2 linked regions of the Coturnix japonica genome follow. The protein of the gene in region 1 interacts with the protein of each later gene in a biochemical or structural test. Links are inferred from orthologs where the notes say so. Each region holds a gene or a part of one and is shown on either strand. Other genes may lie near its edges.

Evidence for each region.
Region 2: the proteins of EYA2 (region 1) and SIX1 form a complex in vitro, tested with the Homo sapiens proteins (2 studies listed by IntAct, with this or other methods). The link is inferred for Coturnix japonica from reciprocal best matches to the Homo sapiens genes EYA2 and SIX1.

What each region holds. Positions count from the first base shown.
Region 1 is NC_029535.1:4,986,605-4,990,875, forward strand, and holds the start of EYA2 (eyes absent homolog 2), read left to right. Parts: upstream 1-1,236; 5' UTR 1,237-1,300; coding exon 1,301-1,371; intron 1,372-1,938; exon of another isoform or gene 1,939-3,130; intron 3,131-4,271. UniProt on the Homo sapiens protein: Functions both as protein phosphatase and as transcriptional coactivator for SIX1, and probably also for SIX2, SIX4 and SIX5.
Region 2 is NC_029520.1:49,457,680-49,461,988, forward strand, and holds SIX1 (homeobox protein SIX1), read left to right. Parts: upstream 1-1,263; 5' UTR 1,264-1,439; coding exon 1,440-1,999; intron 2,000-2,695; coding exon 2,696-2,984; 3' UTR 2,985-3,826; downstream 3,827-4,309. UniProt on the Homo sapiens protein: Transcription factor that is involved in the regulation of cell proliferation, apoptosis and embryonic development. Plays an important role in the development of several organs, including kidney, muscle and inner ear.

The sequences.
Region 1 (4,271 bases):
GTAAAAACAGCTGTCTCGTTGCAATGATGTTTTTGTTCCATTGTCAAAATTTTGAGTTAAATCCATGAGTGGGCTGCAGCTTGTTCAAACCCTGAACTCAACACCCTTTGTGTTCCTTTGGCTTTTCCACAGCGGTTCCTGGGATCTCCCCTTCCTGAGGAAAGGGCTAGGTGTAATAAAAGCTGTCAAGGCAAGGGTTGGAGGCTCTCGTCCACTATTGAGCCAGAACAGGAGAGCTGCAGCCTGCCCTGAACAGCTGGAAAGAGGAGAGAAAAGAGGAAGAGCAGGGTGCAGAAGCAAAACACCCCGATGCCACCGTGGCCAGGCTGCTTCCCCAGCAAGCAGGTATGCTGGTGGGCAGGGGTGGATGTGTGCTACCTGTGTGCTGGGACGAGGCGAAGCACAAAGACACCCTTTGTGCTCTTTGGCTTTTCCGCCTCCATATGGTCACGGATGCAGCCTGATTCCTGCGGGGATGTTGGAGGCAGAAGCAGGATGGCGTGGGGTGGGGGGAGTTCAGCCCTGGCCACCAGGAGCTGTGCGATGCTCGTGTTGGTGGGAGCAGAGGGATGCTTTGTATGAGCGGGACTGCTCCTGCAGCTCTGCAGGTCTTGTGGTAGTGTGGGAGAGCGTGTAAAAAAACTTCCTCCAAATATTCTTTTAAAATTGAGGTTTAAAAATTGACACAGGAGTCGATGTTGTGTTCATATGCCCACGTTTTAAACCAAGAATCCCTCTTAAAAACATACAGCTAAACCTTAGTTGAGAGCATCAGGCCGGATAAAGCTGAAAGCAGAAAGCACGCTGAGGGAGTACCTGCTAGCAAGCGAAAGCACGGCCCGGCAAGTTAGAAAGCGCGGGGGAGCGCTGAGCACAGCAGGCAGAGCAGCGGGATCGCTCAGGGGGACACGTTGGTGACCGCACAAGAGGCTGCCCCGCGCTCCGGCCGGGCCCCGCGTCGTGCGGGAGCCGCTGCAAGCTCCTCCTCCGCCGGGCCGGGCAGCAGCGAGCGGCCGGACAGCTCCGAGGGCACAGGCTGCGAGGCGGCGCGGCCCCACGCGTGCGGTAGGTGCGGGGCGGGACGGCCGCCTGCGGGACTGTGCGCGGCTGTGCGGGGCCGGCGGCGCGGTGCGGGCTGCCCTGGGGCGGGCTCGCTGCGGGGAAGCAACAGGTCGGGCTCGCTGCGGACGGACCCTCGCGAGGTCACGCACCGCGGGGAAGCGCGGCGGGGAGGGGAGGGCGCGGCGCGGGGTGCGGAGCCGCCGCCCCGCTCCGCTCCGCTCCGCTCCTATCCGCGGGCATGCGCGCCTGCCTCGCACATGCTCACTGCGCCCGCGGCGGGCGCGCACACTCCGCAGCGCTGCGGCTCCGGTGAGTACGGGCGGGGGAACGACGGTCCGCTGCCCGCCCCGCACCCGCGGATGGGCTGGAGGCGGCGGGTTCCGTGAGCGGCTGCCCGCGTCCATCCCGCGTCCACGGACGGCGCGGAGCGGAGCGGGACGGGACCCGGAGCGGACGGCAGCGCCTGTCCCGGCCCCGCCGCTTCCCGCGGACGCGCTGCGGGGCGAAACGCGACAGCACGTCGGGTCGTACGGGCTGCGGCGGGGTTAATCGGTGCGGGTATTTGATGCGCTGCGGACCGTCCGGCTTTACCTTAAGCCAGCTTCGGTTAGTTATTCTATTGCAAACTGAAATGTGCGTTTAAATAAAGTTAGTTATGCTCTTTTTTTTTTTGCAATTGCTCCTGTGAGGAAAATTTCTCGAGTGATTGATGCGCTTGAAATACACTTTTTGGAGCGTTACGTTATGCCCGAGCGCAGCGAACAGCCGCTAACGGAAATTAGCGATGGAACACAGCTCCTGTGCTCGGACCTTTCGAATGGTGCTGTGTTCTGCAGGGTGAAAGTTTAGCTATTAAATGCGCACGGTTAACCAATAAACATTTAATCACATTTATTAACGGGAATTTTCTTCAGCACGGTATCAGATTCACACATCCCTTGACTTCGTTCAGGGCAATAGGAGTATCGCATTGTTTAGTCCTTCTCGTGCACTTTGTGATTTGCTGAGATCCTCCTTCTGTGCTGCTCTCTCCAGGAGGTTTTCCCCGGAACCTTTGGGGAAGCACGACGAATTGCTTTCTGCCCGCTGTGTGTGCTGGGGGATCTGGTGCCTAAAAGCTGGGCTCTATTCAAACTACAGCTCCTATGTGTAAGCTGATGTTTTGTAGCTCCTTCCACGCATCCCACGTTGCACTGTGGTTTGTGTTACATGTTGCTAAGTACGAGATAATTTTTCTCCTCGCCCCTTTTGCTTTGAATAAACTGTTTCTTCTCTAATACAAACCTGGATTATTAATTCTGCCTTGAAACTTAAGGCTCAAATATTATGGGCTTAAATATTACATACGTAAATAGGAAAGGCTTACCGTACAAATACCCTGAAAATACTTAGTGTTTGCAGCTTTGGAAACATTCCAAAACCTTTTGAAATATATGTTGAAAATTCACTTGCAATGATGCTACAGCAAATAACTTGAATTAATTATTCTGATTTGCATCTTAAGAAAAAGATAATAATAAATTTACTGTGTGATGCGAAATTAAGTTTTTGAGTCACATCATCCAGCCAGTTCTCATGCCTCTTTCTCTTCTATGTTCCCAACCAGCAGGTCAAAACATTTGGCCTAATAACAAGTGTGTACTCCTTTACTCCTTTGGTCTGAAGCCATCGTTCTTTCTATTTTGCTTTGCTTTGTTCAGCCCGCTCCCCTCAGCTCATTTTCTCTTACAGCACTACGTACAGACTCGATTCCCACGCCTCGCTAATGCTATCACCAGCATTTGGCTGAAAGGTTTGAAATGGGCTCCTGTTTCAAATATCTCGCAACCTTGGCAGTATTAAATTTCATTAGAAAAGCTTCATTAGGGAGAAATAAATATATTGTTGGTAATTCCCCCTTCATCATTAAGTCCCGCATTCGGTGTTCTGCATACAGACGCACCTTGACTGTACAAAGGGATTTGACTCACGTATTCATGAAGACCATGGTCTCAGAATAGCATTTTGAGAATCTCGTCTGTTCCTCTGCTGTTGTCCTTCCATAGCTGGCCAATGTGATGGATTTTTTCTGCAAAAGAAAATAGTTTCACTGTGAATCCTGCAAAAGTTAGTGGTATGTTAAAGCTCAAACCAGTGAGGTGCTCTGCTGAAGTCACCGTAGCTGCATTTGTGTGTCGGTGTGTGTAGGTGCAGGCTGCTGAGAAAGAAAACAATTAAAGAAGTCAGTAATTTTCTGCTGTCTTCCCGCCTGTTATTTATGATGTGTAGCAGTAAAGCAGCTATTCTGAATTCAGCTATAATTCTCGTCAGTAAGATTTGTTTCTTCTGTGCCAAATTTTGCAGTAACCAGATGGCTTTAAGGTGTCTTCAGCTGGAAAGCAAGCAAGAACAGTGCTGAAGACTAATTATTCCTTGCAGTAAATTTCTTCTGTAATAAATTCACAGGTTGTTAGACTTAATCTGTGGAAATGATTGTTAAGATTACTTGTGCAGTGAAAAATGCTTTTAAAATTCTGTTCCTTAAAAAAAAAAAAAAAGGTCTTAGAATGCCAGGAAAATGTTTCTGAGTTCACTTTGCCTTGTAGTAACTTTTATTAGGGATGAACCCTTCGGTTGCAAATTCAAATGCTTTCATAAACCATGGAACTCTGCAGTTTTAACATGATGAATTTTAATATATCCCAGAAGTTGAGGGCTCAATTTGTAGATAAACTGGGAAAACTTGTACGGCCCTTTCTGATGGATAGTTACTGTATGCATGTGTATTATGAACAGCGACAGTGAAACTGCTGTACTAAGAATCAAGTTCTTTTCATTACGCTTCACATTGTACTACACAGGACAGAAAATAGTTACACCAAAGAGGAAAAGGTGGAACTGATCAAAACTTTCCCTCATTTTTCTAATGAAAAGCCAGAAAGACCATCTTGACTGGGGCTGTTTTTAAGAGTTCTCATCAAAAAACGATTGTTTACGGCAGCCCAATTCTTAAAACAGTTCTTCATCCTTATTTGCAGATCTTAACTCAAGTAAGGATGTTTAACAAACACCCTGCTTTAATCAGGTGAGGATAAGCCCCTCAATTAGGACGCAAATAGTTGCGTACCTTGGTTGTGTCATTCAGGGCCTGGAGGTGTTGCCATTTGCCAGTAGATTTTGTGCTGCCAAAGTGTTAAATCAGGAGAGATGAGGAAATAGGAATAAGGATG
Region 2 (4,309 bases), on another chromosome or scaffold:
AGAGCGGACAGACGGGCGGCAGCGCTTTATTTAACAGCCCCGAGAAGAGAAATACGTGGGAAAAACAACCACCGGTGCATGGGGGGACGGCGGCGGGGCCTGCAGCCGGGGTGCGACGAGAGGGACTCGGCCGGGTCCACCCGGAGGGTTCGGGGCCGGGTATCGGGTACCGGGATCGGGCTGCGGGAGCATCGCCGGCCACAGCTCGGAGCCCCGGCCCGGCCCGTCCTTGAGGAGCACGGAATAAATCACCCCGTTCTTAGAGGAGACAAACAGGTTTTCAAGAGCCCTTCGATTGTTCTCAGAACCCACGGAGTGAACCCAAACGCCGGTTGGAGGGTGCTCAAAGCGCAGCGCTCCGCTTATCTCAGCGCGTATAAACGCTGCCATAAAGATACCCTCATCCCCGCCCTTATCTCAGCGCATTGTCCCCATCTCCCAGCCCGCCCCAGCTCCCGACGGCAGCTTATCTCTGCTTGGGGAACCTAATTGCTTTCTAATTTTTGCAATAATTGCTTTGGAGCGAGGTGTGCAGATGAGGATTTGGGAGAATGAAAGCGCCGCCGCTGTTTTTTTCTCTTTCCTCTTCCCCGGGGGCAGCTCCCAGGGCCGCTCCCTCCCGACCTGAGCGGTCCCGGCCCGGACCCCCCCGGGCTGAGGGGGAGGCGGAGAGGTGCCGGGGGGGGGGGATATGAGCCTCCGCTCTGCTATTCTGCTATTCAGAGCGCGGCATCCGCCGTGAGGACGGGCGGTATTTATTCATTCACGCCTGGAGTGAGGGTGATGGAAGACGGGACGGGGAAGGGAGTGTCAGAGAACGGAGGAGAAATAAAAGAAATGAAAACGTATGAAAGGAAATAAATGAAAGAATAAGAATTAAAAATAAAGAAAAAAATAATAAAGAAAAAAACAAGGAAAAAAGTAAAGAAAAAAAAAGAAAAAATAAATAAAGAAAAAATGCAAAGCGAACAAACGAAGCGGACTGGAAGCAGGAGGGCCGCGCATTTGCCCGCGGGGTGCGGGGCGCGCCGTGCCCGGAGCTCCCCCCGCAGCCACAGCCGCACCCGCGCAGCCGCGCCGTGGCCGGGGCCGGGGCCGCTCCTCCAGGCTCCGCCCGCCCGTGCCGAGGCTCTGCCCGCCGGGCCGGGCTGGGCTGGGCTGGGCCGGGCCGGGTCGGGGCCCTCCGCGACGGGGGCCGAGCCGCGGGCGCCCAATCAGCGCGGCGCGGGGGCTCGGGCGCTTTAAGCGCGGCGGCGGCGGCGGAGCGGGGGCAAAGTTCCCCCCGTCGCTCGGCCGAGCATCCATCCCCCCCGCTCCGCCGCCGCCTCCGCGCCTCCCCGCTCTGGGGACGGGACCGGGCCCGGGGCTCTCCCCGCCCCTCCGCCGCCTCTCGGTGCCGCACGCAGCCCCGAGCCGCCCCTCGGCTCCCGGCCCCGGCCATGTCGATGCTGCCGTCGTTCGGCTTCACGCAGGAGCAGGTCGCCTGCGTGTGCGAGGTGCTGCAGCAGGGGGGGAACCTGGAGCGCCTGGGCCGCTTCCTCTGGTCGCTGCCGGCCTGCGACCACCTGCACAAGAACGAGAGCGTCCTCAAGGCCAAAGCGGTGGTGGCTTTTCACCGGGGCAACTTCCGAGAGCTCTACAAGATCCTGGAGAGCCACCAGTTCTCGCCGCACAACCACCCCAAGCTGCAGCAGCTCTGGCTCAAGGCGCACTACGTGGAAGCCGAGAAGCTGCGCGGGCGGCCGCTGGGAGCCGTGGGCAAATACCGGGTGCGCCGAAAGTTCCCCCTGCCCCGAACCATCTGGGACGGCGAGGAGACCAGCTACTGCTTCAAGGAGAAGAGCCGCAGCGTTCTCCGCGAGTGGTACGCGCACAATCCCTACCCCTCGCCCCGCGAGAAGCGGGAGCTGGCCGAGGCCACCGGGCTCACCACCACGCAGGTCAGCAACTGGTTCAAGAACCGGCGGCAGCGGGACCGGGCGGCGGAGGCCAAGGAGAGGTACGTGCCTTCCCCTCCCGCTTTGCTCCCTTTTCCTCCCGGCCCCGCTCGGACAGCGGCTCCGCTCCGCTCCGCTCCCCCCGACGCCCCGTTCTCGCCTCGCTCTCTCCGCCGGACTCTCGGCACCGAAGCTCCGGGCCGCCGGTCCCGACCCGCTCCCACCTGCCTGGGGGGCACCGACCCCCCTCCGCCCCCTCCTCTCCTGCTGCTCTCCCGAGCCGCCCCCGCCTTTGTTCGGTGCCTTCCGGGCCTCGAGAGTCGCGGCCCAGCTACCGGCCCCGGGGGCAGCTCCGGCTGTTGTGCGCGATGCGGGCTCGGGGCGGCTGTTTCTTGCGGCCCGGTTCTCATCGCCTCCCGCTTCCGCGTCCTCCCGCGGCCCCGCGGGGCGAGAATCAACCCCGGCCCCACCGAACGCCGTTCCCGGCCCCGCGGGGCCGCGCTGCGATTTGCGATGAGAAAGAATGACAAAAAGAAACGGCGGAATCCCCGCGTCTTTCCTCACCTCGGCCCCCGGCAGCTCCGGGGCTGGCGATGCGCAGCAGCTGTCTAAATAGGGGCCGAGCCCGGCAGCTGCGGGACGATCCGTTAGGAACAGACCGGGCGCTTTCTTCCCTTCTTTTCCCCCTCTCCCCTTCCTTCCTTCCCCCATCCCGGAGGCCCCCGCCCTGACCGCCCGCTGTGCTTCTGCCTTCGCAGGGAGAACACGGAGAACAACAACGCGGCCACCAACAAACCCAACCAACTCTCCCCACTGGACGGGAGCAAACCCCTCATGTCCAGCTCCGAGGAAGAATTTTCACCCCCGCAGAGCCCGGATCAGAACTCGGTCCTCCTGTTGCAGGGGAACCTCGCTCACGGCAGGAGCTCCGCGTACCCGCTGGGTTCCCTGCCCGCCCCCCCGGGCACGCACAGCCTCCCTGGCCATCAGCTCCAGGACTCGCTGCTGGGGCCGCTCACCTCCAGCCTGGTGGACCTGGGCTCCTAAAGGGCTCCGCTCGCGGACACGGACTCTCGGTTGTACATAGCGGACGGTGATCCTCAACGTCACTTCGGCTCTTCTCCACGGTCTCAGCTCCAGGTCCGGTCCCCCCCCTCCCCTCGCTCCCTTCCCTACTGTCGTTATTTTTATTATTGTTATTATTATTATTATTATTTTTCCACGTAGCCAAATGCAGAGAGCGGCACAAAGCCCTCAGCCTTGAGTTCGAGTGAGTGAGAACTGCAACAACAGAACTAAGAAATAAAAGGGGAGATGGCGGGGGGGGGTGGTGGAAAATCCAACCCTAAACCCCGGATCCCATTGCGCCCCATAAATCCCAACTGTTGCGGCCCAGAGGCAGAGGAAGCGCAGGGCCCTTTGTGGCAGCGGGAGGAGGGAGGGGAACTTTTCGTTTACATTTCTTTTTCTTTTACCTTTTTTTTTTTTTTTTTTTTTTTTTTGGTATTTAGCTTCACCGGAAGGATTTCGATGTAGTTTAAAAATTAAAAAAAAAAGACAAAATAGATACAATTAGGAAGCGGCAGTATGAGGGTTTTACCAAGTGCCTATGTCTTAACGCGGCGGTGCTGCTCCCCGGTCGGGACACGCAGCGATTCGGCTCCACATTAGGACAGTAACAACAGCGATAATAAGTGCGGACGGCCCTTCCCTTCTGCAGGAGCGTTTCTCTCTGTCTGCCTCCCCCCCCCTGCTCCCCCCAGCTCTGCCTCGCAGTGAGCCCGCAGCTGTCTGTCTCGAGTCTGTGTTACCGACCTCGCGTGTGCTTTCAGGTTTCTTTTCTATTGTACCCAAACAGCCGAAATTAAACACTGCTGATGGCAGAATCCCGACGCTGCGCTCTTCTTTCTGGGGCTCAGCCCCCCCATCCTCCCACGGCGTGGGAGCCGCTCTCTTTCCGACGCTGCCCCTTCGCTGTGTCACCACCGAGGGATGGAGCCGAGGTCGGGTTGCGGGGGCTGCACATCGGGACCGCCCCGTCGGCCGCCCCCGGCTGCACAGCGCGGATGGTGCCGCTTTCCACACCCCCCCGCGTCCGCGTTTCGCATCACCGAGCGCTTAAGGCTCCACCGCGTTTGTTTTCTGGGGGTCTCGGGCCGTGGAGAAATGTCACCCTCTGCAGGAGGGTCTCTCCCGCTCTCCCTCCTCCCGAGGGGGCCCCGCCATCCTCCTCGGCTGCCCCCGGCTCCCTCCGCCCGGTTCCGGCCGCGGGGTCACAGCGCCGGGGCGCGTTTCATCCTCTCCGTGTGTGACGGCGGCCGCCCCGTCGGGGCACGCGGCTCCGATCCCTGCGGGCTGCGCGAGGCCTCTGC